Caenorhabditis elegans: one gene and its partners. The protein of the gene in region 3 purifies or fractionates together with the protein of the main gene of each other region. This does not show direct contact. Each region holds a gene or a part of one and is shown on either strand. Other genes may lie near its edges. The genes, in order: trmt-6, metl-1, trm-61A and mtq-2.

Region 1 (7,912 bases), 3.6 Mb from region 3:
CAAAAATAGTAAAACTGATCATATTCCTTATGAAAAAAATGGAGTCGTCATGAATTCAGAGTACAAGATTTGAAAAAAACCATACCATAGAATGATGATCCACCAGAAATGACAAACGATCTCCACCACCAGCGATAATTTTCAGCGCACAAGGAGAAGTAGGTGGCCACAACCGAGATTTGAGCCGTCGAAATGGCAAGAATGATGGATACAATGAAGAGGAACCCGAATAAATAATAGAATTGATTTTCCCAGATGGCCTGAAATTATTTTAAAAAGTAAAAACAATAGTCACTACTCTCTTACGTTAAAAATGAAGAAAAGTTCGATGAACATGGCTCCAAATGGAAGAACTCCAGCGATGAGTGAACTGGGAATAAGACGGAGGAACCAGGGTTGCTCCGGAACTTGACGAGGAATTTGATTGGTTCTGACAGGGTGAGTGTACGGTTGCTTGCGATATCCAAAGTAAAAACCGAGGAAGATCAGCGGCATGTCGATACAGAACCACATGATGAGAAGAGCAACCATTGTTCCAAACGGAACAGCTCCTGACGAATGTTTTCCGATTAGGAAAAAGTTGAGAAGGAAGCCTGCTCCAAGGATCAGAGATGGAAATAGAGTAGCCGTTTGGACTGCACATCTAATCGGATTACGTCCCTTCATTGTTTTGTAGAGACGACCTGCATGATATCCAGAGATAAGTCCCATGAAACAGAAGAGGAACACGGCAGCAGACATCAAAGATCCTCGCGAAGCTGGAGAAAGCATACCAAGCATCGCACAGACTGAAAGTTTATTTTTAATATCAAATTTTCGTTTTTTCAGATATAACTAACCAACAACAATCGCTGACATTCCGAGAAGTTGAATTCCGGTTCCAACCATATTCACAAGGATCATTTGATGTGGTGGAGGACGAAAGACATCTCCATGGACAAGCTTCCATCCTGTCTCCTCTAATGTGTCGTCTTCTTCATCATCACGGTTATATTGAGCTATATCACGACGTACTGTACGAACAATAGTGACACTTACAAAGCCTGGAATAGAAACAAAATTATTGATAATTTGGTTTTTGAAAACTTATTTTCTCAAAAGAAACACTCAAAAACATACTATTTCGCTATCTCTTTCTTCATCTACTAGAAGTAAAACGCGAAATAGTATGAACGCAAGAATTTGGTAATTATTATGTGCGATGAGAATCGTACTCACCAGAAAGTGACAAAACGACAACAATTGAGTTGAGAATACTGAACCAATGAATATCGACAGCCTTGGTAGTCAGGTAAACATCCCATCTTGAAGCCCATGGAACATCACTCTCTTCAAATGCTACTGAATATGAAAAATCAACGGATTGTTCAGAGTCCCCAAGTTCGACATGCTTCGTTCCATCATCTGGCATCGAGCAAGTTCCATCATCGTTCTTCGTGGCGGAGATCGATCGTGGGCGGACTTCGAATCCAACGACTCTGAAGAAATTACACTGGTTGTTTCATAAAATACTTTTTTAATAAAAAAAAAACTAACCTGTAGAGCCCTGGAGTGTGCTGATGGTACTTGACGACAAATTGAAGATGGTTGTTGAGAAAAACTTTTGCATTGTCGCCAATCCATCCGAGACGGTATCCCAAATCGTAGTACACGTCTCCAGATTGCGCTGGATTGATAACAGTAGCAACTGGCAAATTGTCGACGATTCTATAAAAATGCAATAAATTCACAGAAAAAACGGGGAATATGATAAAACTAACAAATGAGCAGAATATTCCTGTCGAATTCTTTCTTTGAACAAGGCGACATTTTCTTTTGACAATTTATTCGAGCATACTGACACGCACTGTTCGTTCTTCTTCATATGGAAAGCATATGGAGTGTTAACGATTCGATCACCTCTCATAACTTCTCCCAAGTTTTCTGATTTGTATTGGATATCTCCATTTGCTGGTTTACAAAATGGAACCGAGTAGTATTCGAAAGGCATGATATTATTTGAGCTTGTCAGTTTAATAGCCTGTAAATTGCGAAATTAGATTTTAAAAGTTGGTTTCTTAACACTTTTTTCAGACCATGATATTTTTAATCGCGTTGCAGCGATTTTCTTACCTTGACATCGATCACATCTCCGGCTTTGAAATCAACCGGAGCCACTCCAGGCACATAAAATCCTTGCTCGAGAGGTATAAGAGTGGCGAGCACCAAAAGGGTGCTAGTTCGTAAATAAGCCATTAGCTGTAAATAATTTTGAGCTTATTTGAAAGAAAAATGTAATAGGAAGGGAATTAAAAGCAATATATTGACAATTTCTTAACCTAAATATTTGTAAAGCCCGTCAATTAATTAATTAAATTGAAATATACATAGCTAGAACTCAAAATACCGTTTAAAAGAGAAAATATTTCAAATATTTATAATATTCAAAAGCCTAGCAGAAACGTGGATAATCGCGCAAAAGCTTATCGGCTCGGCGAATCTCTTGTTGACACGCATGCGGCGCGGTATTGTGGGTGGGGCTAAATGGCGTGGATTGGTAATTTGCAAGTGTGACGCGCACTTTTTTGCCTATATTTGTTCAGTCAGAATTATGGCATTTTCCAGGAAGATATAATGGTTTGATAAAGAAAATAAATATTGAAGTATTGAACTGTACATATTATTAAATTTTAAGTGTAAAAGATTGAGGAAATATGCAATTTACTCGGAAAATTCAACAATAAAAAATAACAAATAAAATGCGAATACGGTGATCTGAAAAAAGAAAAACAACAATAACAAAAATAATAATAAATTATTGGTCAATAACTTTGATTCCAGTGAGAATATGTCCGCCAGCGACGTGCTGAGCCATTAACGGATGAGTTCTATCAGGTAGAACTTGCATTACACGACACATTTGATCAGTAAGAACTAAATTGATTGTTTGACGCTTTGACAACCAATCGTATGCTGAGATGAGGATCTGGAACAGAAAATAGTTTTTAAAAGGTTTTTTGAGTAACTGGAGCCAGAATTCAGTTAAAATGTAATCTGGTCACTTTAATGTGAAAAAAAGATAATATTTTATATAATTTTTACATTTTGATGAGGAGAGTAGATGACAATCGTCCCAGATGGTGCCAGTTTGGGATAAAGAAGCTCCAAAACACTGATAGGATCGACAGTACGACTTCCAATAATTAAAGAATGAATTTGTTCATCATTAATCAAATCGATTCCTCTCTTCTCCCGATCCAAACGATCATTTCGGCGAGCAAGAGCCTCTAGATCTTGATCCTATAAAATTTAAAAATTTATTTCCATCTAAAACGTTGTCCTAATTTTTCAATTACCTCGATTTTCTCAGGTTCCTTATCTCCATTGACTTCCTCCAAATTATCATCATCCCCATTTACAGCCTTTCGGTTATTGTCATATGGCAGATGTTTGCCTGCTAGAACACACTTAATTCGAACCGGTAAAAATGTGGAAAGTGTGTTATCATCGTAATTCATAGAATGAACACAGGGAATTGATTGAGCTACCGCACCCTGTAAAACCAATATATTTTGAAAGGATGTTTTTTTTCGAAGAATAAACCCTATGAATATGAATACAAGCACCAGTTCCACCGAGTCTTTCAATAACTGCAGAGGTAATAAGTCCAAGTGTTTGTTCAAATACGACGACATTCTTTCCATGGTGAAGCCCTGCCATTTGAAGAATTAATGCTAATTGATCAGCACGAAGCATCGCAAGACGATCAGGATCTTTCAAATAATAAGCTTTAGCCAGAAGACGGATGGTTGGACGGAGGATTAATACTCTGAAATTATTATTCGCAGAAGTAGAAATCGGCAAAACCCCACTTTTATCAATAAAAAACTCAAAAGCTTAAAATTCAAAAATAATTTAAATTTAAAAACAATAGCTGACGTACCGATCACTATGTTTTTTGGCTTTTCGTTTGATATATTTGCTCTGTGAAAAGACAGTTCTTGTCTGAAATGATGCTGAACCTTCAACAAGTTTGGCAACCATTTCCTGTCCACTGACTCCTTGCTTCTTCATTTCCAATACGGCATCCATTTCCAATTTTTGACGTTTTTGTTCGGGCTCAAGTTTAAGTGCTGAAGGCGCGATAACAACACGTGGATCTAAAGATGGTTCCGATGGTTCTGTTACTTCAGGATCTATGGATGAGGTGGCAACGGATGCTTCTTGAAGTTGAAGTTCTTCAATTAGACGATCAACTGACATTGGAAGGCATTGATTATTGGATACTTCGAATAGACCATGAGGCTTTCCAAATGCACTGAAAATATCATTCTTTCATTACAGTATCTTTTACCATCATTGTTCGGGTACCACATACAGTGCCGGCCTAAAATCTATCCAAAACCTTTTTTTTTTAGTGAATTTACAAGTTTTCGAATTTTTATAGATCTTAAAGAAGGAGGAACGGTTCTGGGTATTTTGGACGTATATAAGAAAAACCACAAAATAGTTTGCAGAGCATTCAGTTTACTTTTCCAATAGAAAAAACCACTTTAACCCCATTAATATTATCAGTTGAATCAATTGAACGTAGGGTCTGCTGCCCTTTTCTTTGAATTAATCAAACTGTTTGTCAAAGTGTTTGCACAACGATTTTTAATCGTCGAAAAAAAAGAAAAATTTATAATCGGTTAGTGACAAGGGGCGAGAATTGATATGTGACTTTTGAAAAACGGGGCACGTGTTTTATGTTTAGAATGCACTTTGACGTCACTGTGGTTTTTTTGTGATCAAAGTTTCATTTGAAAGAGCTCGAAAATTGGAAGTTATTCGGAAAATTATAATTAATTTTAGAACTGGAAACCTTACCTATCGGCTACAAACTTCAGCTTCTCAATGAGAATCTTTTGCTTTGGAGTAAACCGGACTATGCGACTTTGTTCGCCATCAATCTGAAAATTATTTTTTTTGCTGTAATTTTGTTCTTCAATTCAATTTTAATGTGAAAATTGAACTTTTTCCAATTCAAAAAATACCTTTTGCACGATAAGATACTCTCCACTTTTTATGAGTTTTTGTGATGTTTCCGCAGGTTCGGTTTCCATGTTTGATCTGAAAAATTTGAATATTCAATTGAAAATCGACGAGACGGCTACGAAAGGCAACAGAGAACGAACGATAAAGTAGTCAAAGAATATCGGGAAAAATGTGATAAAAGAGGGAAAATGAGAGATTGCAAATATTCGAATATTTGTTAGGAGAGGTATTGAATTGGTTTAAAGTTGAACTTTTACATCTTTTTTGAAATAGTTTTTTGTACTTTTAAACTGGGCAGTTTTTGAGTTCAAAACATTTGGAATAGCTTTCTCGGACTATTCAGATGCAATTGGATTCCGGACTGTAAGCTAAGTGTATTTTTTGAGAAAAAAAACTGAATAAGACAAAAAGCATTCAACAAAAATGTTTTTTTTGCACCCAGAAATATGTTTTTCGAAACAAAAACATCAATTGAGCCCAGGGTGAGGGTTTTTAAAAATTTTTTACTAAAAACCGAAATATTTTAGTTTTTCTTTCGATATTTCTAAAAAATGCAGTTTTTCAAAAAATAGCTTAAAATATTGGAAATTTTTATTCAGTTTGGACAAATTTTTTTAATGCTTTTTTTCGTCAATTTAAACAAAATTTAATATAAAATTTATTTTTATGGTTACTCTTCTGTATTTTTTTTTATTTTCAGATTTTTTGAATTAAAATAATTCTGAAATCACCGATTATTATGGGAAATTTGGTATTTCTTTTAGAAAAATTTTTGATGTGTATTGTGTCTTCTGTATCCAATTACAATGTCACAGTTTAGAGGAACAAGTACACAGAGAAGAAACTGTAGAGCGATCAACTGACGAGATGAAATTCAACGTGTGTTCATAATTGATAGTTGATATTTAGTGAACGATCATTCTTTGACGAACAATTTCTCTGTATCTTTTTGATTTGTTTCTCTTTAAATAAGATTGTAAATATAACATTTTTGAATTGGTTTCCATTTTATTTTTGAAAAAAAATCAATTTCCTTGTCAACAATATTTTGTTGATAATTGCCGCATTTCAAAAGAAAAAACTAGTTTTTCGTCTTCTACTCAACTTTTCTATTCTCCACTCTATCATACAAAGAATTATTAACAATACCCTAAACTCATCTTATTTGCTTTTTAAAGACTTTCAACCCACCGATCCGCGATTTGGGCGGTCTCTCGAAAAATTGTGATAAGACGATAAATCATCAAATAGAGATAGAAAGTGGTAGTGACGATAATAAAAGTGTGTGAAGGCGATCTTTAAAGATTGCTTGTTTGCCAACTGCCAACCATTATTGTTATAAAAGATACCCGAATGTTCTGATCAAGGTTACGTTATCAGTGAGGTTTTCCACGGAACTTTGGAGTCTTGTGATCTTTTTCAACTTTTTCTCTCAATCCGGTTATCACACATGTTCAAAACGTATTATTTTTGTTTACCGAAAATAGAAAAGTTCCTGAAATTTCGACTTAAATTTAGAAAACCTGGTAATAATGAACTTATATTATCGAAAAAATACGATCGCACAAATTTCTCATAATTTTGATCTACCTGTTGAACTTGACTCCGCTCCCAATCTTGATGCCGTTGTTATTTTGTTGTGGCTGTTTTATCAAAGGAAGGGGAGGAGCCTAGTCAACAAGGTAGATCAAAAATAAATTATGAGAAAATTGTTCGATCGTATTTTTTCGATAATATGACAGAAAGGGATTACTGTAGTATATCGTCAGATTTTACTTCCCAATTCAAGTATTGAACAGTACATAGAGCTTACAATACGAACTGAAAATAATCACATCTGATGTATGATTTTACTGGAACACCGCAAACCGATATTATTTGTCACCTGTCTAACTGAAAGTAAAAATGAACTTTTGTATGTTCACCCATTAGTCTAGATTTCCCATATAACTCCCACAGTGCATAACTAAATCCATCAGAGTTTGTATTTAAATTCGGAACCTCATGTTTTATTTCACAGTTTTATCATCATTTCCCGCTCATGTTTCCCAAGTGATAGAGACCAACTGATTCGTAACGTTTTGATGAACTGGTCATTTTGTGAACATTCAAATTCATTCTCATTGCTTCTAGGAGCCTAGGTCTATAACTATTACTTGAGGTCGGTTAGAACTTTTGAACTAGAAGAATGCAAATCGTTAACTAAGTTAACTTCCATTTTCTTGGAATTTACTAAAAGACTTGTTATACGATTCATATATCGTGTAATCTTTCGGAAGAATCGTAATGTTTATGAAATCTTGAAACAAATCGGATCAATGCCCAATCAAGAAACATTTTTGTTTTTGTTGCCATCTTTCGGGAATCACCCCGGTTCCACCTGGCACGAAAAAACACATGTGAACCATGTGAAAACGTTTAGCTGGTCAGTTGTTTGAGGGGACGTTTCCAGAGTTTAACACTTGCATCGATCAATGATCATAGGGGAGTTCCAATCAGCCTTATTAAATAGCAGGTTACTACAGTGCGTGCAACTTCTATAGCGCCCCCTATTTTTTTCGTATTTCGTCACTTTCCCAAACTTTTTTGAGAAAACCATTATAGCCATTCGATATCAAATGTCAAAAAACCCCCTGTCCGAAATTTTCATGAAAAAATATCAAAGACTACGGTAATTAGGTCAAAAAGTCTGAAAAACGACCGTGCAACTTCTATAGCGCTCCCTCGAATTTTCGCTATTTTTCAATAAAATACCTAGTTTTATGAGAATTCTGAAAAGGATATAGTATTCTATATTAAGAAAAATGATCATAAGGTCTCATTTTTCAATTTTCAACAGAAATATATTACGTGAAAACTTCTGGGATCCCAAGAGTGGCCTGAAACGCTTCACTTT
Region 2 (7,280 bases), on a different chromosome or scaffold from region 3:
TGAGAAAATATTTAAAGTCAATTGAAAACAGTGTTTATTTAATATCTGAATCTTTCAGAAGTATCGAAAACCGAGAAAAGCGCCGCCGTGAAAGAATTTGTGAAGCTTCTGCCTCGTGAAAACTACATTCTTCTGAAAACAGTCATCAAATTCCTAACTCGAGTCGCCGAAAACAGCAAAGTGAATCTGATGACTGCAAACAATTTGAGTGTCGTTTTCGGTCCAAATTTGACGTGGCCAACGGATCAAGAAGTGCCGATTTCTCAATTGAATAACCTCAATAACTTCTGCTATAAATTAATTGTGGATTATGATTCAGTATTTGATCATTGATCATTAGGGTGTTCAGCTTTTGCATTTTCCCCCGTTTTTCTGTACTTTTTTGCCTTACTGTAATTTATTTATTGCATCCATATTAAATAAAATTCAAAACACTTGTCATTTATACTAAAAATTAATTCACTGTATCCGTACTAAATCATATAAAACCGATGGTTTTCGACGATCACAAGAACATTTAGAAGTCAATAGATAATGAAGATCAATGATTTGTCGAGACGACGTTTACTTCTTTTCGGATTTGACGATGAGTGGGCCAACATTGTCGCCAGTCTCCTTGTTGTGCTTTCCATGTGATCCGTCACAGTATGGCCACTTCTCGCTCTTCCAGCATCTGCAGAATGCCTTCTTCTCTCCAATATCCTCAATATCGACGGTGTCGACGATCTTATTCGAGTCGAGCTGGATCTTGTAGTTGCAGCGAGCCGAACGCTGTCCGAACTTGTAACCAACCTGAAATTAATTAGTGAAATTGAAGAGGCTACATCAGGGGAAGGCTTGAACTTACAAGGTATCCAATAAGAGCTCCTCCCGCGAGAACGGCGGCAGTCGTGGCGACACAGCGACCAGAGACTTGAGTTGGGCAAGGCATGGTACCTGGAAAATTTAATTTAACAAAAAAAATTTAAGGAATAAGATTCAAGCGAAAAAAAATATATACGATTTATCATAAGGTAGATGCAAAATTTGGCGATTTTCGCATAAAAGTACAGTATCGGGTCTCGAAACGACCGCTTTGCTTTATTGGGAAAGAGTATGCGTCTTTAAGGAGTACTGTATCAATTTTCATAACTTTTTCAGAAGTGCTATCTTTTAAAATTTATGAGAGAATTCGCGAGTTGACAACTACAGTACTCTTTAAAGGCGCACACTCTTTCTATTGGAAAACCAGTCGCTTTGAGACCAGATACGTAACCTTTGACCAAAAAATCGGAAAATTGTGAATCTGTGTAATAAGAGGCAGTTCAATCAACAAATTATGCCAAAATTACCAAGCTCTGCAACAGAACAATGCTGTGGCGTTGTCCAACAACAGTGATCTTGAATGAGAGATAAAGCACAAAATCCAGCGATGGTCATTTTTCGAAGAAAATTGTAAAATATGTAGAAATAAATTTAAAAACCTTTTTTCGTAATCTATCGATTGATCTTTTTGATTAAAAAATTTGGACGTGAGAAGAAGAAAAATAACTTTTTTTCAAAGGTCAAATCGAAAAGAAAATCGATTTTTGTGAATTTGATATATTTTACAATTAGAATTTTTCGCTCATTTTCCGCCAAAAATCGAAAAATCTTCAGCCTCGTGGACATTATAAGATCACTAACAATTGTGAAAGAGAAAGAAAGTGACGTTGAAGTCGAGGCGGTCGCCTGAACATCAGCGCCAATCGCAGTAAAAACGAGAAAATGAGAGATAAGAGAGAAATAGACACAAGATACAAATTTCCGTGTGAAACTACGGAGCACAAAGAACATATAAATTCAGTGGAAACACTAATTTTTTATGTATTTATTTGAATTTTTGTCTCGAATAATAAAGGGATGAGAGAGGGAGGGATGGGATACAATTATTATGAACACTTTTCCACTAGAAATGCTCGCATAGGTTGATAGTCAAAGAAATCATTTGGATTCGATAAAACTTTCAGAACACAACAAAAAGAATCTAGAAGGCATCTGCACGGGTTTGACACGTGTTTTGTAAAAAAAAGAAACATAGAAAACTGAGAGTAATATGAAAAAAAAACAACAAAAAGAAATGAGAACTATTGAACCTAACCTATATGAGGAGAAACCTTGGAAAAGAGGAAAAATTGGGGGAAAAATTGGAGAAAAGATCAAAATTATCAACTCGAATGACCTCCTTCGAAAGACAACATGAATTTGAAAAGCTCGTAAACGGACCAGGAGAGAGCAGTTGCAGGAACCTGGAATAAAAATTATTAAACTGAGGTTTTTCTATTGCCCGGATACTGTACCAGGTCTCGAAGCGGCCGATTTTCTTAAATTTAACAGAGTGTGCGCCTTTAAGGATTACTAAAGTTGTTCTTCGATTTTTTGTTATTGTGATTTTCTGATATTTCGAAATTTTTCTTGATTATTGGAATAATATCATAAAAATTTGGCAACTAAATTTTTGTGTTTTTTTTTTCTGAACATTTTTTTTTCCAGAAAATCTAAATTTTATGTTTTCCGATTTTTACAAAAAAATAAAAAATCGGAAATTCTAGATTTTCTCTGGAAAAATCTAAATTTTTTTCGCTGTAACCGTTAGTTGGGAATTACAGTAATTCTTAAAGGTGCAGACCCTTTGCATTCAAAACAATCGATCGCTTCGAGACCGGTTACCGTATTTTTTGGCACGAAAATCAAAAATCTTAGACATTACCTGGAATATGACCCTAGCTTGTAATCCACACGAGAATCCGGATAGTCCACGTTGAGAATAAATTGTCCGTACGGCGTCAGAAATTCCACGATAACGATACCTAGCCTGTAATTCATTCTTTTCAATTATAGCAAAAAAATGCGAAGAATTCAAAAAAACTCACCTGCAAGAAAATTCGCCTATTTGCTGGATCAGCTTCTGCAGCTTGTTGCGTATTCAAAACGGTTTTCACACAATCCATTGGAGTCGTTAAAGCAGCTGCCAATCCGCCGGCAAGTCCTCCCGCAATTAAATGTGATTTCGGATCGTATTTATGCTCCGGATTCAGGACGTGCTGCCAGAATTCGTAACTCATAAAGTGAATTGCTTGGAATGGAACATTCATTGCCAGCTGTGTCGTGTATGATCTATAGAAAGCCGCCACACCTTCCCGATTATAAACACATCGAGCACATTCCAACGATGATCCGTATGGAGAGAAAGCCATTTGCATTCTTTGCTTCACTACTTCTGCTGGATTCATGATAGCGTCATGGATAAGTGTTGCAACAACTCCAGAAGCTCCATATGCTAACGTATTGCTGTGTCCCGCGGAGTTTCCCGTCAAATATCCCTTCATTTTCTCGTAAACTGTGAAGTATAGAGCGTGAGCTGGCATTGAGCCTGCAGCAACTGCATTAACTCCACGTAGCGGTCGAAGCCATCCTTCTCGTTTAACAATGCTCATCAGTGAATGTACAGGAGTTGGACATTTCGTTTCAGGGCACGGACAAAGTGATTGCATTCTCGTTTTGACCGAATCGAATGGAAACATGACACAATGCTCAACGGCTCCGGCCAGGGCTCCAGCTGTCAAGTGCACCTGAATCTTAGATTGTGATAGAATGGGAAACACTAATTGAAAATTAATTTAATAAAAAAATTTTAATTAATAAAAATGCGCCGAATTCGTAATGGAACTTCTCAAAAAAAAACACGTATTTTTTGAAGAAAACGGTTAATTTTTGCCGAAATCTTCAATTTTGTCAATCTCTTTTAATTAATTAAAATTCTTACCGGGACGCTGTGTGTTGGAAGTGATTCGTACTCATCTTCGCCACCGCCACCCATTTTGCCCAGTACTGAGTATCTGCTGAAAATGCGATTTAAAAATTTAATAATTGATTAAATTTAATAGATATATAAGTAGAGTTTGAAAACTCGATGGAAATAAGTTCAAAAAATCAGACTATTAGAAGAATTGGATTTCATTTAACAGACAAAAACACAAAATCAACAAAATAGTTAAATAACAACCTCGGAGGAGGAGGGAGAGTCTCGTGAAAAATTGATGAATGTTGGAAGTAGGCAGAGGGGATTATAAGGCCGGGTTCGGAAGTCGCCTGAAGATTGCTGGCCACTTTCCTCCGTCATTTCGAGTCACTTTTTGTCCTTCTTCAGTACTTTCAAAGAGCATTTCCACAATCGGATCTTTTTTCATTTCTTCTTCAGTCAGCCGTTCGAAAAGTGGATGCTCGCTGAGATGCTTGACCATCCATTCGTGTAGATCCTTGACATCAGTGATTGTGTAGATAATACCTGAAAAAATAAAAGTTATAACAAAGATCAATAGGCACAGCGGGAAAATGCACTTGTAGGTGCGCAGAGCTACAGAGAAAGGAACAGGTTTCTACTTAGCTATAGTTCTCACGTGGCACACATGGAACGGATTGTTAATTTTATTGGGCAGGGAATTGAAGATAGAAGCCTACGTGCAAATTTGAAACAATTAAAGCTTCAGAGATTGGAAAGTTTTCTGAGATCTATCGAAAGTCAAGAAAAATGTTCGGTGATGAAATGTCTCGCAGCAGCATACGGCCACGCGGTTAGATGATAAATATTGTTTGATGGCGAGAATTAGGGACACAAAGACACATTTTCAACCGTTGATACGCTATTCTTATCATTGAAACTATTCCTATTCCATTATCTGCACTTGTGATCACTGGTACGATCAAGGTCACTCTCATACCTCCTTCACGAAGCACATAAGCGTATTCGGAGAGCAGTGTTGGAGTGATGATCCGCCATTTGTGCTTCTTATTCTTGAAATGTGGATCTGGGAAAAGGAAGAACATCTTGGAAAGTTGTCCTTTGTGGAAATAATTTGGCATGTATTTCATGGCATTTGATCGGAGAACGGCTACATTTCTGTAGTGACCAGCTTCAGCGTGATGCTTTCGAAGTGCTTGGATTTTTTCGTTTACGTAATCCGACACTTTCACACGAATTTCCATACCGATCATCAGATTATCAGGATATTTAGGTGACAATCTCATCAAAAGACCTCCATAACCACATCCGATGTCTGCAAAATCCACTTGACGTCCTTTTGTGTAATCGCCGTAATATTTGGTCCAATCCATACTAAAAATTGTCAAAATTTAACAAAAGGTAACACTTTAATTTTACTCACTGGTTTGGAGTCAGTGGATATTCAATGTCATGATCAGAATGAGGATTCGAGTGAGCTCGCTGCCTGAAATCCTTTTTTATTAAATATTAAACTTTAGTTTTCTCAGAAACTAACCGATAATGCTTCTTTTGAGGCAACCCTGGAACTGTCTCGCAAGTAGGTTTGTGATCCAATTCCATTTCTGTCAGCGCAGGAGTTATGTCCATGTTTTTGCTGAAAATCACGAGTAAATTATGTAAATATTTACGTAAATTATACATTGAGGTAGTTGAAAAATGCGCAATTTAATTTTAAAAAGTTAAATTTTAATAATTTAAAAGTTATATTTACTGAAAGTTAACTTTAAAGTTATAAAAGGAAAAAAATTAAAATAAAAAAATGAGAAGATCGTGAAGTGCGCCAAGCGTAACTCGATTTGCGCCAGCAATCAATTTTCGTGCGCAACTTTCGTGTTGGGGAGTTCTCGGCGTCTCCTAGGTTTCGCATTGTCTCTCGCCTTCTTCACAACAATTCCCGTTGCTTCACTTACAACAAAAAAGACCGGACAACCACTGCAGTTGTTCTGAATATACTTCTCACAGCCACGCATTCGTTCTTTTTCTCTTATTCTGTCACATAACTTTCCCCTCAACACCTATTTACTCTATTTACAGCCGGATTTCTTTTCTGATCCCCTCAAAAAGTAATTTCCAATTTTCAGAATTCAAATGCATTGATTTATCGGTAAAAGCTACTTAAAATGAGGACCTCACACTGCATAATACGTAGTTTTTCTCCGAAACGACTTATCATTTTCGTTGCCGCCTCCACACTAATCTATGTAATGCTACTCAGAAATTCTACATTAAATGATGAAAGAAGGTTTGTTTTTGATATATTTTTATAAATGTGAGATACTAAATATTAAATAGTCTCCAGGATAGCAGCGACTGAAGAGCAAGTTCGATCTGTCAATGTCAATGTACAGCAATCAAAAAACAGCGGAGTCGCTGAAAGAACACACGATATAAAGGATCCTGTTGAATTGGAAATTGCTCGACAGACGCTAACATTTTTAAATATGGAAGAAGCCGTCACAAAACCAAAGCCACCGGTTAAAATGTAAGTTTTTTCAGTGATTATTGTGAATCTAAACTAAACGTTTTTTTTATTTTTTCAGCGCCGAAGAGGACGGATCTTGTCCAATAGTTGAGAAAATACCAGATCTTCAAGGCGCTCTTCCACAAGCCACACTTTTGATTCAAAATCTTCAAGAAGGAGAAGTACACGCAATTCATCCAGAACTTGGCCCAGGTGGCTCATGGAAACCGGATGATTGTCAGGCTCGCGATAAAATCGCAGTGATAATTCCATATCGAGAAAGGCAAACTCACTTGACTCGATTGATCGACTTTTTGATTCCAATACTTCAACGACAGCGGCTAGATTTTCGATTCATTGTTACTGAACAAGTAAGAATTTTTTTAAAGCAATGCTTAAATAAAAATATTAAATTTTCAGTATGGAAACGACTTGTTCAACAAAGGCCGAATTATGAATGCTGCATTTATCTTCGCAGAAAGCCTTGGAGTCGATTGTGTAGTCTTCCACGACGTCGACATGTTCCCACAAGACGATCGGAACCCGTATTCGTGCCCACCTGGTCCACGTCATCTTGGAGCTTTTGTCAGTAATCTGGGATATCAATTGTGGTACAAGGAGATTGTCGGAGGCGTTTTAGCAGTATCAATGGCAGATTATCGTGCAGTTAATGGATATTCAAATCAATTCTGGGCGTGGGGAGGTGAAGACGATGATATGGGACAGAGAATACTTTCATTAAATTACACAATTGAACGACCAAATCCTGAAACAGGGAGATATTCTATGTTGAAGCATGTGAAGAGGAAACGGACTGCGCCGAAGTTGATGTAGGTTTTTATCAGGCATTTTCTAGTGTCAAAATATAAAAAATCACTTGATTTAAATTTATCTTAAAACTATTAATTTCAGCTAAAACATTGGAGAAAGTACTAAAAAATTGTTTTGTAATTTTTGAGGTTTTTATCCATTGTTTCAGCTGGAATAAATGTTATTTTCTGATAAATCAAGTGATTT
Region 3 (8,626 bases):
CACGGAACCCTCGGAGGTTGCAGAAGCTCCAGCTAATCCAGCGGATCATGAAGAAACTGAAGTCCTTCCATTGGCAAGTGGAGCCTCGAATTGGAACTTAACGTTTTGGATTTTGTGTTTTTATGGAATAAAGTACTTTTAGTTGGGATTTTTTTGTGCTCCGAGAGCTTGGAAGTCTGCATCTAATGGGGATTCTGATCTTCCGGGAGAATCCATACACATGGTGTCAGAGTGTCCCATATCGGCTTGATCTACGTAGATTTACAAAAAACGCGGGAGAAGAGACGCAAAGTTCTCAACTGATTTCGCATGATTAAGAACGTGCTGACGTCACATTTTTTTTGCAAAAAAATCCCGCATTTTTTGTAGATCAAACCGTAATGGGACAGCCTGGCACCATGTGTCCGTTTGGTTACAGGGGCGGTAAGGCTTAGTGGCCTACAAATCTGAAGTTAGGCCATGATTTTTTTAATCGAAAAAACACTGAATTCCTATTCAACTCAACTTGCGAAAACTCTATGCGCCGTTGAACTTCTTTGCAAAAGTATTGATAATAGGTCAGCGGCTACTTTCACGCCAATTCGAAATTTCGAAATATTTCGCAATACCTATGTACCTTTAAACCTTTTTCGCGTTGAGACCTACTCCGACAATTTCCAGAACCATGCTCTCCAATTTTGATGTATTTTTTTCAGAAACAGAAGGACAAAAAATAGTTGTATATTAAAAGCGAACCCCTACGCGTCGTAAATCGACACCGGCCGTGGCCGAGATAAAATGGCCTAGTTCAGCCAAATCTTAGATTTAAAAATATGAAAGCTAGTCCTCGAAACGTTTTTTATTAAAAAAAATTTAACTTTCGGGAAAAAACAAAAAAATAGTACGTTTTTCAAATTGTTTCGGATTTGATTGATTGAAAAAAACCTTTTTGGAGTAAAAAAAATTTCAGATTAAAAACTAAAAATTTTCTAATCACATCACCTGTCACACACGTTGGAAAAAATGATTTATTGAAAATTTTCTGGCCTAAAATAGCTCTGAGAACTGGAAATTTTCTAAAGAACCGAAAAATTAGTAACTACGAAATTCCAGCTCAATTTCAGCAAAAACGGAGCAGCAACGGGGGGCTAAAATAGAAGTTTGACGTATTTCGGCAGCCATCCGGCACCAGGCGGAATATTTAAGTGAGAAGGGTGGAGTTACTCGTCATTTACCCCCGGAAGTTTCTAATAGCAGCTGAAAATACTTTTTTTGGATATTAAACTATTTTTTCGAAAACTTGGGTTATTCTCAGAATGAATATCAAAATCATATTAAGCTCGTTGAGAGCTTTGAAATGACACCCATATTGACATGTTTTGGGTCTCGCTGCGAAAAAAAATTAAAGGCGCATAAGGGTTTTTTTTTGAAAATTTCAAAGTATGGCTTGATTATACTTTTTGAAAGTTCTCAGCGGGGAGAACTCTGAATTGAGTAATGCTGAAAATTTTATTCATGGCCTAACTTTTGAAATTCTAGGCCATATAAGAAAAATCACATTTTTAAGGGTTTTAGACCTGATTTTTAAAGTTTCTTTTTTGAGAAATAAAAGCAATTTTAGAAAATTTTCAAATATTCCACAAAAAAACGTACAAAAGCAAAAATCTCCATCCTAAACGACAGAAAATTGGCGAAAAAATGAGAATTTTGGAAAAGATACGGCTCGGTTTCCGGAAATCTGCACACAATACCCATCGATACAGTCTTTGTAGTGGCTTTGGCGGATAGAAACTTCACAAAGATGTGCTCAAAAGCTCAAAAGCTTTCCCGCGGGCCACTTGAAGCTTCCGCTCATCCACCGTATCCGATTTCGTTTTTTTCCACCGCAACCGATTTGTGTGATGGACGCAGAGTTTGGTTAATGATATTTTTAATTTGAAATTTATCTTTTTTTTAGAAAAAAAATTGAATTTTCAGGGATTTTCAGCTACTTCCTGCGATTTTCCATTAAAAATCTCTGCGTCTCAATGTCTCCCCGCACTCTCTCGCTGGTTCTCGTCGAGAAACGCGCCAAGGCGAGTGCTGGCGCACTTACTGGGATCGAAAAACGCGTCAACTGGAATTTTCTTTTTCCCCGGAATTTCTACGCTCAATTTTTACCGATTTTCCTCGAATTTTTTGCGTTTTTTCGCAAATTTTCATTGAAAAATCATGTCGGACACAGCGGACAGTCTATCAGCACGTGGAATCCCAAAAAGCGAGCTCATTGTAAGTCGGAAAATTTAAAAAATTGAAAATCTCTAAAAACTCGAGAAAAAATCCAGTAAACCAGTATTTTCCATTGAATTTTGGAAGAAGTCTCAAGAATTTCCTCAAAAAACTAAGTTTTCCCTCAAAACTGAAAAATTCGGGAAAAAAATGTCAAATCCTATTTTTCAAACAAAAATTGGAGTTTGTTATGGAAATTTTCTGGAATTTTAGTGAAAAATCTTTAAAAAATATTAGAAAATTCACAAATTCCTCTCTGAACCCCATTTTTTTTCAGGAAGACGTCGAGTCATGGCTCACAAAGGAGAAGCTTTCGATCGAGGAAGCCGAAGTTGTGCTCCGTGAGAAATACGGAAAGTACAAATACGTCGAATCATCGATGCTCGCTCAAAAAGTACGAATGAGCGAAAAAATCCCGGAATTCGAGAACAGTTTGAGCATTATCGACACATTAATCGCGAAAAGAGCCGCCGATGAGTCGTTCGAGACGACTTTCCTGCTCTCCGATGATGTCTACACAAAAGCCACTGTTCAGAAGCCCGAGAAGGTAGAAAAAACGCTGAAAATTCAAGAAAAATAGCTGGAAATCGATATTTTCAAGGAAAAATCGCCTAAAATCAAGTTCCCACAATTTTTTCCTCGAAAATTCACAAAAAATGTGATTTTTCAACCAATTTTAACACAAAAATGCCAGAAAACCCCATTTTTAAGGAAATTGGCACTTGAAAACCGCAAAAATTTGAATTTTTGACTTTAATTTTTTTTTTCCCAAGAAAATACCTAAAAATCCTCATTTTAAGCCAATTTCAGCATTAAAAAAGGCTGAATTTTAGAATTTTTAGTCAACTTGCACAGGGAAACTTCACAATATTTTTTTCTAGCTATTTTTCAAAAAAAAAATCAATTTTTGATGCGAAAAACTTCAAAAAACCAACTTTCAGCAATTTTCGGCAATTTTTATCGAAAAAACTCAAAATTTCGTATTTTAAAAAGCAATTTCCTCCCAAAAACCCAGAATTATAATTTTTTAGCAATTTTTCCCGGAAAAACATTAAAAATTCTGATTTTCAGCCCTAAAAATGGCTCAATAATTCAATTTTCAGAAAAACCCTCTAAAATTCCCGAAATTTCCAGGTATCAATCTGGCTTGGAGCCAACGTAATGGTCGAATATGACCTTGAAAATGCTCGAAAACTGCTCGACAAAAACCGTGGCTCCGTTCAAAAAGTGGTCGACGAGCTGACAAACGAATTGTCATATATTAAGGATCAAATCACCACAACCGAAGTCAACATGTCCCATATTGTCAATTTTGGAGTTAATAAACGTCGTGCCGCTCTCGCTGTCAATAATGGAGCGAAATAATTGATCAAAATTACACAATTTTCCCCGTTTTTCGCCCGAAAAATCTCTTGAAATCCCCTTTAAAATCCCATTTTTTGATTGTTTCTGCTGAATTTTTGTTGAATTTTCCGTATTTTTGTCCCGCCACATCCCCCCGATTTGCTTTTAAATTTTGCTATAATTTTTCGCCAATTTTTCATAAAATTCAAAAATCCAAAAAAGTGCAGAAATTTTGAAAACAAAAATCGATTTTCCCATATTATTTGACTAAAATTGGATATTTTTCACTATTTTTCAAAAGATTTTCTCCAAAAATCGTGATTTTTTCCCGTTTTTAGCTTGAAATTTGCAATTTTTCTCACGAAATTCAAAAATTCAAAAAATTTAACAGCAACAAAAATTTAAAAAATCAACAATCAAATTAAAAAAATAAATTATTCGGCGACCGGGAGCATCGTGGCATGAGTCAGGTACCCAGTGTGTGTTGGCTGAGAATATGGATAGACGATTGCAATTGTGATACGTGGAATGGCGGAGCTGCTGAAAATTTGCACAATTTTAGCTCGATGGCCTGGATTTTCACTCCGGGGTTCGAGTCCCCACTGTGGTCGAAATATTTTTATTGGTTCTTTTTCAATTTTTTTAGGGTAAACCAAGGGTCCTGAGCTCGAAAATCAACATCTCAGCAGCCAGAAATCAATGGAAAATGCCCAAACCTTTGCTCAACGATTGTTCCATCGACATTTCTCTTCCGTTCCTTCGGATAAGCATCACCGAGCTCTTCAAACTCTTCAAGCGTCTGCCGGTGTTGACTGACGATCTTCTTCTGCTCGGGAACGAGCTCAATCGTCTCGATGCTCACGAAACCGGCGGCCGCCATGGCTAGGCAGGCACGTTGGACTTGTTCCAGGCACGGACTGTAAGAAAAATCGGGGGTTTGGAGCAAAAATTGGGGAAATTGGCTGAAAACGAGGGTTTCGGGTTCAATTTTTGCAGGGAGTCGCCGGAAAATGTAAAATTTTTCGGTTTTTTCTGAGATAAACGAAAAAGTAAAAAAAAACAATTTTTTTGAATTAAAATTTTATGAAAATTGCCAAAATTTCCAGTTTTTTTCACAAAATCAAAATTTTTCGTTTTTTTCTGTTTTCTTGCAGAAAATTGGAAATTAACAAAAATGACCAAAATGTTCAGTTTTTTACAAAAAAATTCAAAAAAATTTTTTTAAGCACCTCGAAAAATCGAAATTTTTGAATTTTCGATATTCCAAAAAAAACTTTTGTTTCCCTTTTCTATTTATTGTTACGAACAAAATTTGATAAAAGTTTGAAATTTGTGTTAATTTTCCAATTTTTATCCGATTTTCACTGGAAAAAAAAACCGAAAAAGCTAAAAAAAAAAGCGAAATTTTTCGGCAATATTTCGGGTCCCAGGCCCATTTAGTCTTAATCAGGCTCAATTTTTCCACTGATAGCTACCTAAAAGACACTAGACGACCTCCACGAGCCCGGAAAATTGATTTTGCGGCGAATGGGATTGCCTCCCACGGTGCCGGTACATCCAGGAATACCCCGTCGGCAGCGTTTTCCACGTGGAATCCAGAGGTGCAGACATTTCGAACGACGGCCGTCGTCACGGATCCTAGGCCATGAACCTGGAAATGTTTGAAATTAATTTTCCAAAAAAAAAAAAATTTTGCGAAATTTTTTTTCAAAATTTTTTTTTTGCTCAAATAACCTTAAATTCCTCCAAAACTTTATGAGTACGTGTTTCGTCGATATCATGTGTATACAGATGTCCGGTTGGTGCAACGGTCAGTGCAATTGCATGGGACAAGGATCCACTTCCGGTTCCCGATTCGCAGATTACCTGAAAATTTTGGAAATTTCAGTGTTTTTTAGCATTTTCTAGAAATTTATGGGCTTTGGGATATTGATTTTCGGGCTCAGCATCCTTGAATTACCCTTAACAATGTAAAAAATTTAAAAATGCCGTAAAAATATTTCGACCACAGCGGGGAGTCGAACCCCGGTGTGATAATTCTTAGCCATGAATTTTTCCACTGCGCCATTTGGCCGCCGAAACAAAATTGCTTCAAAATTGACTTCCGTGGTTTTTCAAGGTCGCTGAGTTCAAATTTGATAATGAAAATTTTCAAAAAACTGCGATAAAAAGTGTTTCCGGGAATTTTTTATTTTTCAATTTTTTCGGTGTAATCCAATAATTTCAGAACTTTAAGATATCGATTTTCGAGCTCAACACCTTTGAATTACCCTACACAATGAAAAAAATTTTTAAAAAATGCTGTAAAAATATTTCGACCACAGCGGGGAGTCGAACCCCGGTGATTCCCAGTTGTGTATTTTCCCACTGCGCCAATTCACCGCCGAGCCAAAATTGCGAGGGGGGTTTCCGGGGGTGCTGAGCTCAATTTCAGTACTTACAGAGCCGGGTTTTGCGTCTAAAAGCGACAAAATCTGAGCACAATCAGCAGTGTAGAGGATCTGTGTTCGACGTGGCAGGGCGCGAGTCCAAAGATCAGAAGTTGGACGAAGAATGTAGACGTAGCCGGCTGTAGCCGAGAGACGTTGACCCCATCTGTAAAATTATTGATTGTTGAAAAGAAATATCGATTTTTAATTAAAAAAATGGGATATTTCAGCGATTTTTGACTAAAAACCCTGGTTTTCTGAGTTTTAGAAAAATTGAGAATTTTCGGCGATTTTTTATTTTTTATTTTTTGACAATTCTAACTCAAAAATTGACGTTTTTGACCATTTTTTGGCAAAACGTTCGAAAAATCGCTATTTTCTGCATTTTAAGCCGATTTTTCACCGTGAAAATCCTTTTTTTTTTTCGAAAATTCGATTTTCACCTTTTTCCAATAATAAATTCGTGACGTAGTGCTCCATATTTCATCATTAAAGTCTGTCCCCGTTTGACAATTGTTGGGACCATTTGTCCATAGGTGACATAGACAATTACAGTATCTCCTTCTTGAATACGATCTTCATATGACATGAATGACGGTGGTGATGACGTCATTCTTTTTTGAAAAAAATGTAGAAAACTGAAAATTTCGAGCAATTTAGAAGAAAAATGAGCTAAAAATGCGGGTTTTTGAGGAAATTTGCGTTGGAGCGCGTTTGCAGAGCTATTTAATTTTTTTGGCGCGAATTTTTTGGGTTTTCGTCAAAAATTGAGTTTTTTCAGCATTTTCTGGCAATAAACTGTTTTTAAAAATAAAATAAAAACATTTTTTGAGAAAATTGAAACATTTTTAATTTTTAACGATGAAAATCTGATTTTTGGCGGATTTTCAGGGTTAAACAACGAGAAAATTCGATTTTTTTAAAAAGTTGCATTGGAGCGCGTTTGCATCGAAATTAAACGACGATTTTTCGCGCGAAATTTGAATTTTCCTGTGGTTTCTGACAAAATTATCTATTGAGCGCGTTTGCAGCGAATTTAAATGGAAATTTTGGCGGGAATTTCAATTTTTTGAACAAAGCTAAATTTTAAATTTTTCTGAAAAAAAAATCCCGGAAATTCAAATTTTCAATAAAAAAAGTCATTATTAAAGGTACATAAAGCCGTCTAGAACAACAAAAAAATAAAATTTACAAAAAAAAAACGAAAAATGTATAATTAAATGGCAAGAAGCTTCATTGGAAAACTAGAAAAAAGAGTGGAAATAAATAATAAAAATTCTAATTTTTACATATTTTAGGGGAAAAAATTCAAGATTTTCCACAGAAAAAAAAAATCAAATAAATTTAACGCCTTCATTATCTCCACCGATATTCATCAATTGAGCACGTCGTTGCTCTTCCAAACATGTCAACGCTTTCATCAGAATTTCACGCTCCAAATTGTGGAATGCTGAAAAAAAATTTGAATTTTATATATCGCTTTTCGAGTTCAGCGCATTTGATTTAGTCTTTAGTCTTTTAACATGCGAAAAAAGCCAGTAAAAATATTTCGACCACAGTGGGGACTCGAACCCCGGTGTGATTTTTCTCCCAGTCGAGCATTTTCGCACTGAGCCATTCGGACACTTTTTGCAAATTTTACCAAAAATCCGAAAAAAAGTCAAAATTTTCAAAAAAAAAAAGCCAATTTTTTTTTTGGAAATTTAGGAAAAAATTCAAAGTTTTTGAGCTCAAAATCGATTTTCAGAACTTTTTTGGTGGAGTTTCTGTTAAATTTTCAAATTTTCCGGTGCTGAGCTCGATTTTCACCAAATTTCATAGGATTTTCATGCTTTTCATCTGCCTACACTCATTTGTAGTATCATCTCCGTGGGTAATCTCGTATAAAGTGAGTGGTGTATTGATAAATGCATTCTCAACCGCCCATTGGTAGATCATATTGGCCCAAACATCGGGTCGACGCCAGAAAATGTGGAAACGTGTACGGCCGTTGTCCGTGAATTCGATTAGTTCTGGAAATGTGGGAAAATTGGGTGAAAAATTGGAATTTTGACATAAAAATCAAGTTTTTTCCTACAAAAAGTGCTGAATTTCGGTGATTTTTGGTTATTTTCTAGAGAAAAATCGGATAAAAATGCGAAATTTGGGGTTTTTGCCAGAAAATTTGAATTTCCCGCTGAAAATGTTTTTTTTTCAAAAAATTTGAATATATCGCCAAAAAAATTACTTAAAAATTTGAATTTCCCGCTAAAAATGGTTTTTTTTCAGAAAATTTAAATTTTTCGCTAAAAAATCCTCTATAAAATTTGAGTTTCCTGTAATAATATTTTTAAAATAAAATTTGAGTTTTTCGCCAATTTTTTTTTGTCAGAAAATTTTGAATTTTATCTTATAAAATACCTTTTTCTTTTTTTTTCAAAAATTTTGATATTTTTTCCAGATTTTTGAATTTTTTGAGCCAAAAATTTGCGAAAAAAATGTGATTTTTGTGGGAAAATTCTATAAAATTCCAATTCAATTTTAAAAATTTCAATTTAAATCTTGTTTTTTTTTTCATTAAAATTAAGGAAAAATCTGATTTTTCGGCGATAATCGAGTAGAATTTG
Region 4 (8,181 bases), on a different chromosome or scaffold from region 3:
AATCGTGGTTGTACTTCTGCGCCATTTGCATATACGGAATCTGAAACTTTCAGTCTTTTTTTGTTAATAGGCCTAATAGTACCTTCCACTGATAGTCTTCCCTTTGCAGGCTAAAATGTGCCATATTGTAGTCTTCAAGGTTATCGTCATAAGTGTAGACACGACTTGAAAAGTCATTGCTGGCAATTGGAACCCGTCCGAATTGCAGGTTCAGGCCTGAAATAGCAAAGTTAGGTAAAAAGTTCAATGGAGCGCAGTTGCATTTTTATATAAATTTTAATGTTCTACATATTCGCTTCTTGAACCAACGCTCTATTACTACGTTGAGCAAAGTTATAGCCAAATTTCAATGGAGCGCACTTGCAAAACCTCACAGATTTTATTCAAAATTTATGTCAATCGATAGAAAATGTTATGATCTACTATTTTCCAGTTTGCACCAACTTCGTAGCTTTCCGTTGAACAAAGTTACAAGGAATTGAAAATTGGCAAAAAATTTCGATGGTGCAAACGCGCTCCATTGAACTATTGCTATAACTTTCTTCAAATTGGTCCTAGAATGTTGGTTCAAGAGGGAAAGTTGTAGAGATTTGAATTTTCTATCGAATAACTTACCAGAATCCGAAAAATACTGTCTCAGAATTGTATCAGCCATCTGATCGGGTAAGCTCTTCAAATTCGCACCAGAAGCATCGGAAAACGTTGAGCCAAATCCTTGGATTGTCTGATATGTTTTTGACGAGTCAATTGTGAAGTGCATGCTGGTTACTGTAGTTTTTGAGATTACGGTAAAAATTTTCAAAAAAAAAGTTGCTTACAAGGGTCACTATTTGTCGCATAAACCACATCCCGATGCAGTCGGGCTCCGGATTTGGAAGTTGTGAATGTGGCAGCCTGCCCGGATAGTAAGTTGATATCTGGGATCTCATCGCAATAAGTTATGTTGCAGACACACACAATTCCGGTTTTGAAGGTTTTTTGGGCGCAATCATTGGCGAGTGCCACCTGGAGGGAGGCGAGGGCTGAAAAATTTGAATTTTTCGTTGAAAAATTCGAATTAGTCATGAAATTTTCTGAGTTTTGACACCCATATTGACTATATTTGGACAAAATCGAAGAATTATAGGATTTTGGGGTGCGCTGCGGTCGCGTCGCGGCTCAAATATGGGAATTTTCAAAATGGAGCTAGAGTGGTCTAGTTTTTTGTATTAATATTAAAATTTTGAGTTGAATTGGCTTTCGAATTGAGTGCTGAAAAAATTGTTTAATATTGTTTTCAAAAATTTTTAAAGATAAATTAAAGAAAAGTTTTTTTTTTGGAAAAACGGTATATCGTAACTTTTTTAGGTAATAAAAATCAAGTTCCTGGTGAAATTTGCTGAGTTTTGACACCCATATCGACTATATTCGGATGAAATCCAAGAATTTTAGGATTTTGGGGTGCGTTGCGGTCGTGTCGCGGTTCAAATACTAAAATCTTCAAAATGGACCTAGAGAGGTCTAGTTTTTTGTGTTTAGCTAGAAATGAAGTGGAAAATTAAATTTTTTAGTGGACATTTAAGAAAAAAATAGAAAACATTCTAAATTTTTTTGGAAAATTTTTTTTTTTTAAGTTTATAAAATCAAAAACTCACCAAAAAGCCCTAAAACAAAGCAACTCCAGGCTATAGACATTATGTGTAGACTACTCCTCCTTTCTCATTTTCAACTTAAATACTCGTATACTGATAAGCTAGAAATCAGTTCAATTTGTACTGATGAAGTCATTTTCTTATCAGTAGCCTGTGATTCTAGCCAGCTACTGACTTTTTGGTCACTTTCCACACAAAATCGCACAAAAATGTGTGTGCTTCTTGTGCTTTTCTGTGGCCTGGAAGTCACAAGTGACTAGAAACTGACTGAAAACTCAAGTCAGAAGATGATTTCACATTTGAAAATTTATTTGAAATTAGGAACAATCACATTCGAGCTATTGAGAAGATTTGGAAAATGTGGCAAAAAGTTTTTAAGCAGATCAGAATTTTTTTAGTTTTTTAAAACTGTCTAAAAATGATCTGAATCGCAAAATTTTAGATTTTCACCGTAAAATTCGAATTCCTTGCAAAATTTCAGCCTGAAACTCGAAAACTAGAGCTCTCTAGCTCAATTTTGGAGTTTCCCGGGTTACTGTAGCCCCGGAAGTACGCAAACACCGACTACAGTACCCCCAAACACACGATTTTACGCGATTTTCGAATTTTAAGCTAAAAATTTATGGAGAGACTAATTGAATAGTGGAGAATTCGAATTCGTCAATAAAAAGGTTTTTGTGGTGCGTTGCGGTCGCGTCGCGGCCTTGCAGTGGTCATTTTCAAATTATCGCTAGAAACGTCTAGTTTTCTCGAATACAAACTGAAATTATGCAGTGGTTTCAGATTTTTTATTGAAGTTCCGTGAATTTTATCGAAAATCCAAGAAAAACAACAAATTTATTCAATTTCCGCAAGTGGCGCCGCTTTAACATTATTCTCCTTCATCACAAATTTCAAAATATACAAATGTTCGATGCCGCAACGGCGCTCCATTGACACTGACACCGTCATTTGCTCCGAGTGCTCTTTGAGCAGTGCCGGGATATCGTTCGAGTGAAGTGCGACGAGATAGAAGACACCACGTGGGGACAGAAGCTCGGGGACACGTGGCAAAAGACGATCGAGCGTTGATCTACCGGTTCGGCCGCCAGCGTAGGTCAATTCGATGTTTGATTTGGGCTCTTCGTCAGTAGGGACGTACGGTGGGTTGAAGAGGAGCACGTCTACCTGGAAAATAAAAATTTGGAAAAAAAAGAAAATTTTCGTCGCTAAAACTCAGAAAACCTAAATTTTCATCGGCAAAATCGAAATCCCTGCGAAAAATCAGTGAGAAAATCGAAAACTAGAGGTTTGTAGCTTAAATTTGAAGATTTTCGAGTTTCGAGCCGCGACGCGACCGCAACGCACGTTAAAAAGCCAAAACCCTGGGTTTTTGACCGAATCTAGTCGATATGGGTGTCAAAACTTTGGGAATTTTGTGGAGAGTTCAAAAATTTACATAAAAACACGAGAAATATCACGGAAATTGTGTTACCGGGAGACATTTTCTATAAATTCTGAGATTTCTTTTTTTTATAATTCCATTAGAAATTTGAATTCTCCATTAAATTCTAAATAAGTTGCAAAAAAACTAGACTTTTCTAGCGTTATTTTAAACATTTTCGAGTTTCGAGCCGCGACGCGACCGCAGCGCGTGTCAAAATTACTTGATAATTTCTGAATTTGAATTGTAAATTCGAATTCCTCTTAAAATTTCAGTCAGAAACTCGAGAACTAGAGCTTCCCAGCTCAATTTTTAAATTTTGAGGGTTACTGTAGCGTCAAAAGTACGCAAACACCAGCTACAGTACCCCAAAACACTCGATTTTACGCAATTTTCGGATTTTGGGCTGAAAATTGAGGTTTAGACTAAGAAAATAGCGGTGAATTCGAATTTGATAATGAAAATTCTGATAAAAAATTGTGGACACCAGTTTTCGAGGAATTTTCTTCAAAAGCCTTCGACTTTTATGATTTTTTTTCAACTTTTCAAATTTTTCTCTAACTTTACCAACCTTCCCAAGTAGATTCTCCAATCCTGCAAACAAATCCGTACGAACCACATCAATCTTAATATCATTGAGCTTTGCGGTCTCCAGTGTCACATCCAACGCGTGTGGGTTCAAGTCAGTCGCCACTGACGTCACATTTCCGCCGAGAGCCTGATTTACGAACGTCGAGACGACTCCCGAACCACATCCGATTTCCAGTACAAGCTTGGGGTCGCGAGATCGGATTTCCTGGAAATTTGAGGTTTTTCGGGATTTTTTTCAGATTTTTCACTGGTTCAAAAACTTTTCCGCGAATTTTCATCCTTAAATTTGAATTCCCCGCCATTTATTTGGTCTAAAACTGAATTTTCAGCTCAAAATTTGAAAATCGCGTGAAATCGGGTGTTTTGGGGGTACTGTAGTCGGTGTTTGCGTACTTTCGGCGCTACCGTAACCCTCGAAATTTCAAAAAAGAGCTAGGGACTTCTAGTTTTTGAGTGTCTGACTAGAATTTTACAGGGAATTCAAATACGGCAATGAAAATTTTAAAATTTAAATTTCAGACTAAAAACTCGGCAAAAATTTCAAGTTTAAGAATATTTCTTTCTGAAAATTCACGGTTTTAACTAAAAATTCGAATTCTTCGCGAAATTTCCGAAATTTTGACATCCACATCGACTAGTTTCGGTTAAAAACCAAAACATCTGCAATTTTGAGGTGCGTTGCGGTCGCGTCGCGGCTCAAATGCAAAATTTTTCAAAATTGAGCAATTTACATCTAGTTTTTGGGATTCTAGACTGGATTTTTGCGAGGAATTCGAATTTATTATCAAAACCAAAAAAAAAAGTTTCAATTGATTTTAGGCTAAAAAATGTTGTAAATTTTTGTTCGCCAAATTTTCCAAATTTTTTTTTCTCAAAAATTTTCAAAATTATTTCTAGTTCTCCGCGCTTCCAACCGAAATTTTACGAGAAATTCGAATTTCCTACTCATTTTACCTTAATATCCTTCTCAATAGCATCAATGAGGAGAAACGTGTCCTCGGCTGGCTCATAGACGTCATGGGCTCGAATCGCTTGGAGCCGATACTGGGGAGTTGGCATTGACATCTGAAAAAATGGAAATGTTTTTTAAAAAAGAATCGAAAATTTAGAAAAAAAAAGAAAATCTGGAAAAAAATTTCCAAAAAAAAAAAAAAATTTTTTTCTCAAAAAATTTTTTTCTCCCAAAAATAGAAAAAAAGGCGACAAAAGAAAGAATTTCTAATCGAATTTCATTCTGCCGCCCTTTTTTGACGCGCAAAGTGCAAAAAAGGGGGAGAAATCTGAGACGGCGGCCGGATGATGAGATTGACAGCTTTTCACTGGTTTTTTGCACTTTTGGGAGACTTTCTGTGGGGACATTTTGCACTTTTTTGGGGTCAAAATTGGTTAATATGACACTTGGGAGTGTTTGGAAGAAATTGGAGAAAATTCAAAAATTTCAAAAATTTTGAAAAAAAAATTCAAATTTTTGGCTGAAAATCTTATGAAAATCGATTTTTAAGCCAAAATTTTAAAACTTGACTGCAAAATTCGAATTCCTTACAAAATTTCAGGCTAAAACCCGAAAACTAGAAGTTTCTAGCTCAATTTTGAAATTTCCCGGGTTACGGTAGCGCCAGAAGTACGCAAACACCGACTACAATACCCCAAAAAACCGAATTTCACGCGATTTTCGAATTTTGAGCTGAAAATTCAGGGATAGACTAAGAAACTGGCGGGGAATTCAAATTTCAAACTAAAAATTTAAATAAAAAATTGTGAGGTCTTTTTCAGAAGATTTTTGTGACTCAATCTTTGATTTCAAAAAAAATCAAAAAATTTCTCCGGATTTTTATTATCAAATTCAAATTCCTTGTCATTTTCTTAGTCTAACCATGAATTTTCAGCTTAAAATTCGAAAATCGCGTCGAATTCAGTGTTTCGGGGGTACTGTAGTCGGTGTTTGCGTACTTTTGGTGCTACCGTAACTCTCAAACTTTCAAAATTGAGCTAGAAAGCTCTAGTTTTCGAGTTCAAAACTGAATTTCTGCGAGGAACTTGATTTTTATAATAAAATTTCAAAAATTTGGGTTTCAGACTTATTTTCCGGCAATTTTCAATAGAAAATGTATGAAAATTCATGTTTTCTGGTTCTTTTTCAAACAAGAAAAACAATCAACGCCTCTTTTCTTTTCTCCGCAAAAAATAAGAAAAAAGAGGACCCAAAACGGAAGCTTCGCCTCTTTTTGGGAGTCCTGGCACTGCCAGTCGGTCTAAAAATTGTCAAAAATAAATGGCTGGGCGGTCAGTTTTTTTTGGCTGCGCAAAGAAAATTTATCTTTGAGGGCTCATCTCTTGGGACCCCCTGACAGCTGTGGTGACTAGACAGGGAAAAAAACTGATCTTTGGCTTGGGAGCTGAGCCGAAAACAGTCTGAAAATCAGTCTGAAACTCAAATTTCAAGAATTTCATTAATAGTTTCGATTTCCCCGCAAAATTTCAGCTTTAGACGAGAAAACTAGAAGTTTTTAGCTTAATTGTGAAATTTCTTGGGGTACGGTAGCTACAAAAATACGCAAACACCGACTACAGTAACCCGGAAACACCAAATTTGACGCGATTTTCGAATTTTGAGCTGAAAATTTACACATATACTAATTGAACGGTGGAGAATTCGAATTTTACATTTAGAATACTGCGAATCGTTTTTGAACTTAATAAAAACGCCAAAAATCTCTGAAAATCGATAAATTGCTAAAATATTCGAAATTTCCATGTCCAATTTGATTTACTTGCAAAATTTCAGAAAGAAACCCGAAAACTAGAGCTTTCTAGCTCAATTTTGAATTTTTCCCGGTTACGGTAGCCCCAAAAATACGCAAACACCGACTACAGTACCCCCAAAACACCCGATTTGGCGCGATTTTCGAATTTCGAGCTGAAAATTCAGGGATAGACTAAGAAAATGGCGGGGAATTCGAATTTCAAAATGAAAATTTTCAGGAAAAATTTTAAGTTTTGTAAAAATTGAAATTTGCAAGAAATTTCCAAAAAAATTCGATGAAAACACCTAAACTTGACATCTTTTTCCAGGAAAAAACTACAGAAAAATTGTGTTTTTCTGCAAAAAAAAGGTCCAAATCTCTTGGGACTGCTCATTTTCGATGACCCCTCACAGAGACCCCCGTCTTCCGGCGGGGGTCTCTGCGTGTTAGGGAAAATTGTCGAGACGGAAACAGATGATACTTCCTTTCGGGATTTGCTGACCATCCTCGTTTTTTCTAGATTTTGAAAAATAGGAAATTTTGTGTTTTGGTCGCAAAAATGAAAAAATTCGGCCCAAGTGATATTCAAAACATTTTCAAAAAATTTTTATAATTAAATTCGAATTCTCCGCTATTTTCTTAGTCTATTCCTAAATTTTCAGCTCAAAATTCGAAAATTGCGTGAAATTCGGTGTTTGCGTACTTTTGGCGCTACCGTACTCCTAGAAATGTCAAAATTGAGATAGAAAACTCTAGTTTTCGAGTTGCAGACTGAAATTTGATGGGGAATTCGAATTTGGCTCCGAAAATGTGTAAAAATTAATTTTTAGTCCATTTCACTCAAAATTTTCAACTGGAACTCTAACTTTCAGACTACTCCCGAATATTTGGAGAAATTTAATTAGAAAATTCGAATTCCCCGCAAAATTTGCTAAATTTTGAACCCCATATCGACCAGAATAGGTTGAAAACTAAAAATTCAGCAATTTTTGACGCGCGTTGCGGTCGAAATTCGAAATTATTCAAAAAAGAGCTAGAAACTTCTAGGTTTCGAATTTCTGCCTCAAATTCAGTGGGGAACTCGAATTTGATAATAAAAACCAGAAATGTTGAGTTTCAGATCGATTTTTAAGGATTAAAAAAAAAAAAAATTAGTAATAGTATTGTTTTTAGGTAAATCTGGGGAAAGTTGACGACCAAAAATATATTATTTTCAGATTTAATTCATAATTTATTTGTATCAGGAAAATTGGAAGAAACAGGAAATGAAGTGAAAATGTACAGAGAAACGAAGAAAAAAAAATCAATAAAAATTTGGTATATCACAATTTCACGGAAATTATCGATTTTTCGGTGATTTCGATAAAAATCTCCGAAAAATCGGAAACAAAAAATTTAAAAAATACCCATTGACTATAACGAAATTTTTGTGCGGTTTTCTAGCAAAAATTCTGATAAAATTCAAAAAAAATTTGGAAAAAAAAAAATTAAATTATCGATTTTTGTTGGCGGAAGGGGGCGGGGCGGGAAATGGAATGATTAGGTGGGAAAAAGTGGGCGGGGCACAAACATCACAAATAAAAATGGCTCGGAAATTGGGAATTTTCTGGGAATTTTCGGAAGAAAAATTGAAAATTTATATTTTAGGACGATTTTTGATGGAAAATCCGATTTTCTACTGCAAAAATCCGAAATTTGATTCATTTTTCGCCGAAAAATCCAAAAAAATCTCAAAATTTCCCAAATTATTCCTGATTGAAAAGCTCATTCATCGCGTCGTTAACAATCCGGT

The links.
Region 1: the proteins of trm-61A (region 3) and trmt-6 fractionate together in Caenorhabditis elegans (co-fractionation; one large-scale study listed by BioGRID). This does not show direct contact.
Region 2: the proteins of trm-61A (region 3) and metl-1 fractionate together in Caenorhabditis elegans (co-fractionation; one large-scale study listed by BioGRID). This does not show direct contact.
Region 4: the proteins of trm-61A (region 3) and mtq-2 fractionate together in Caenorhabditis elegans (co-fractionation; one large-scale study listed by BioGRID). This does not show direct contact.

What each region holds. Positions count from the first base shown.
Region 1 is NC_003279.8:9,139,286-9,147,197, forward strand, and holds trmt-6 (tRNA (adenine(58)-N(1))-methyltransferase non-catalytic subunit TRM6), read right to left. Parts: upstream 5,092-7,912; 5' UTR 5,085-5,091; coding exon 5,016-5,084; intron 4,932-5,015; coding exon 4,849-4,931; intron 4,298-4,848; coding exon 3,923-4,297; intron 3,809-3,922; coding exon 3,583-3,808; intron 3,534-3,582; coding exon 3,336-3,533; intron 3,280-3,335; coding exon 3,082-3,279; intron 2,966-3,081; coding exon 2,795-2,965; 3' UTR 2,686-2,794; downstream 1-2,685. Other genes in the region: ZK858.6 (Transmembrane 9 superfamily member), read right to left, coding at 86-260, 307-788, 840-1,043, 1,219-1,478, 1,537-1,707, 1,761-2,020, 2,113-2,238, 6,208-6,312 and 1 more.
Region 2 is NC_003280.10:11,468,174-11,475,453, forward strand, and holds metl-1 (tRNA (guanine-N(7)-)-methyltransferase), read right to left. Parts: upstream 5,403-7,280; 5' UTR 5,390-5,402; coding exon 5,298-5,389; intron 5,247-5,297; coding exon 5,184-5,246; intron 5,135-5,183; coding exon 4,740-5,134; intron 4,307-4,739; coding exon 4,086-4,306; 3' UTR 3,962-4,085; downstream 1-3,961. Other genes in the region: rga-1 (Rho GTPase-activating protein 68F), read left to right, coding at 59-333; cisd-1 (CDGSH iron-sulfur domain-containing protein 2 homologue), read right to left, coding at 565-792, 848-936, 1,332-1,419; slc-25A37 (Mitoferrin), read right to left, coding at 2,187-2,267, 2,729-2,845, 2,892-3,596, 3,785-3,838; ngat-1 (Beta-1,4-N-acetylgalactosaminyltransferase), read left to right, coding at 5,923-6,044, 6,102-6,284, 6,343-6,634, 6,684-7,093. UniProt on the Caenorhabditis elegans protein: Catalyzes the formation of N(7)-methylguanine at position 46 (m7G46) in tRNA.
Region 3 is NC_003279.8:12,726,065-12,734,690, forward strand, and holds trm-61A (tRNA (adenine(58)-N(1))-methyltransferase catalytic subunit TRMT61A), read right to left. Parts: upstream 6,659-8,626; 5' UTR 6,634-6,658; coding exon 6,464-6,633; intron 6,187-6,463; coding exon 6,033-6,186; intron 5,666-6,032; exon of another isoform or gene 5,594-5,665; intron 5,458-5,593; coding exon 5,326-5,457; intron 5,243-5,325; coding exon 5,067-5,242; intron 4,509-5,066; coding exon 4,308-4,508; intron 4,132-4,307; coding exon 4,026-4,131; 3' UTR 3,962-4,025; downstream 1-3,961. Other genes in the region: pfd-3 (putative prefoldin subunit 3), read left to right, coding at 2,191-2,247, 2,525-2,794, 3,382-3,612; vps-25 (Vacuolar protein-sorting-associated protein 25), read right to left, coding at 7,355-7,470, 7,868-8,032.
Region 4 is NC_003280.10:2,184,748-2,192,928, forward strand, and holds mtq-2 (Methyltransferase HEMK2), read right to left. Parts: upstream 4,711-8,181; coding exon 4,600-4,710; intron 3,851-4,599; coding exon 3,626-3,850; intron 2,799-3,625; coding exon 2,469-2,798; 3' UTR 2,402-2,468; downstream 1-2,401. Other genes in the region: gba-2 (Putative glucosylceramidase 2), read right to left, coding at 1-40, 83-216, 616-768, 819-1,022, 1,635-1,674; Y59C2A.2 (Membralin), read right to left, coding at 8,135-8,181.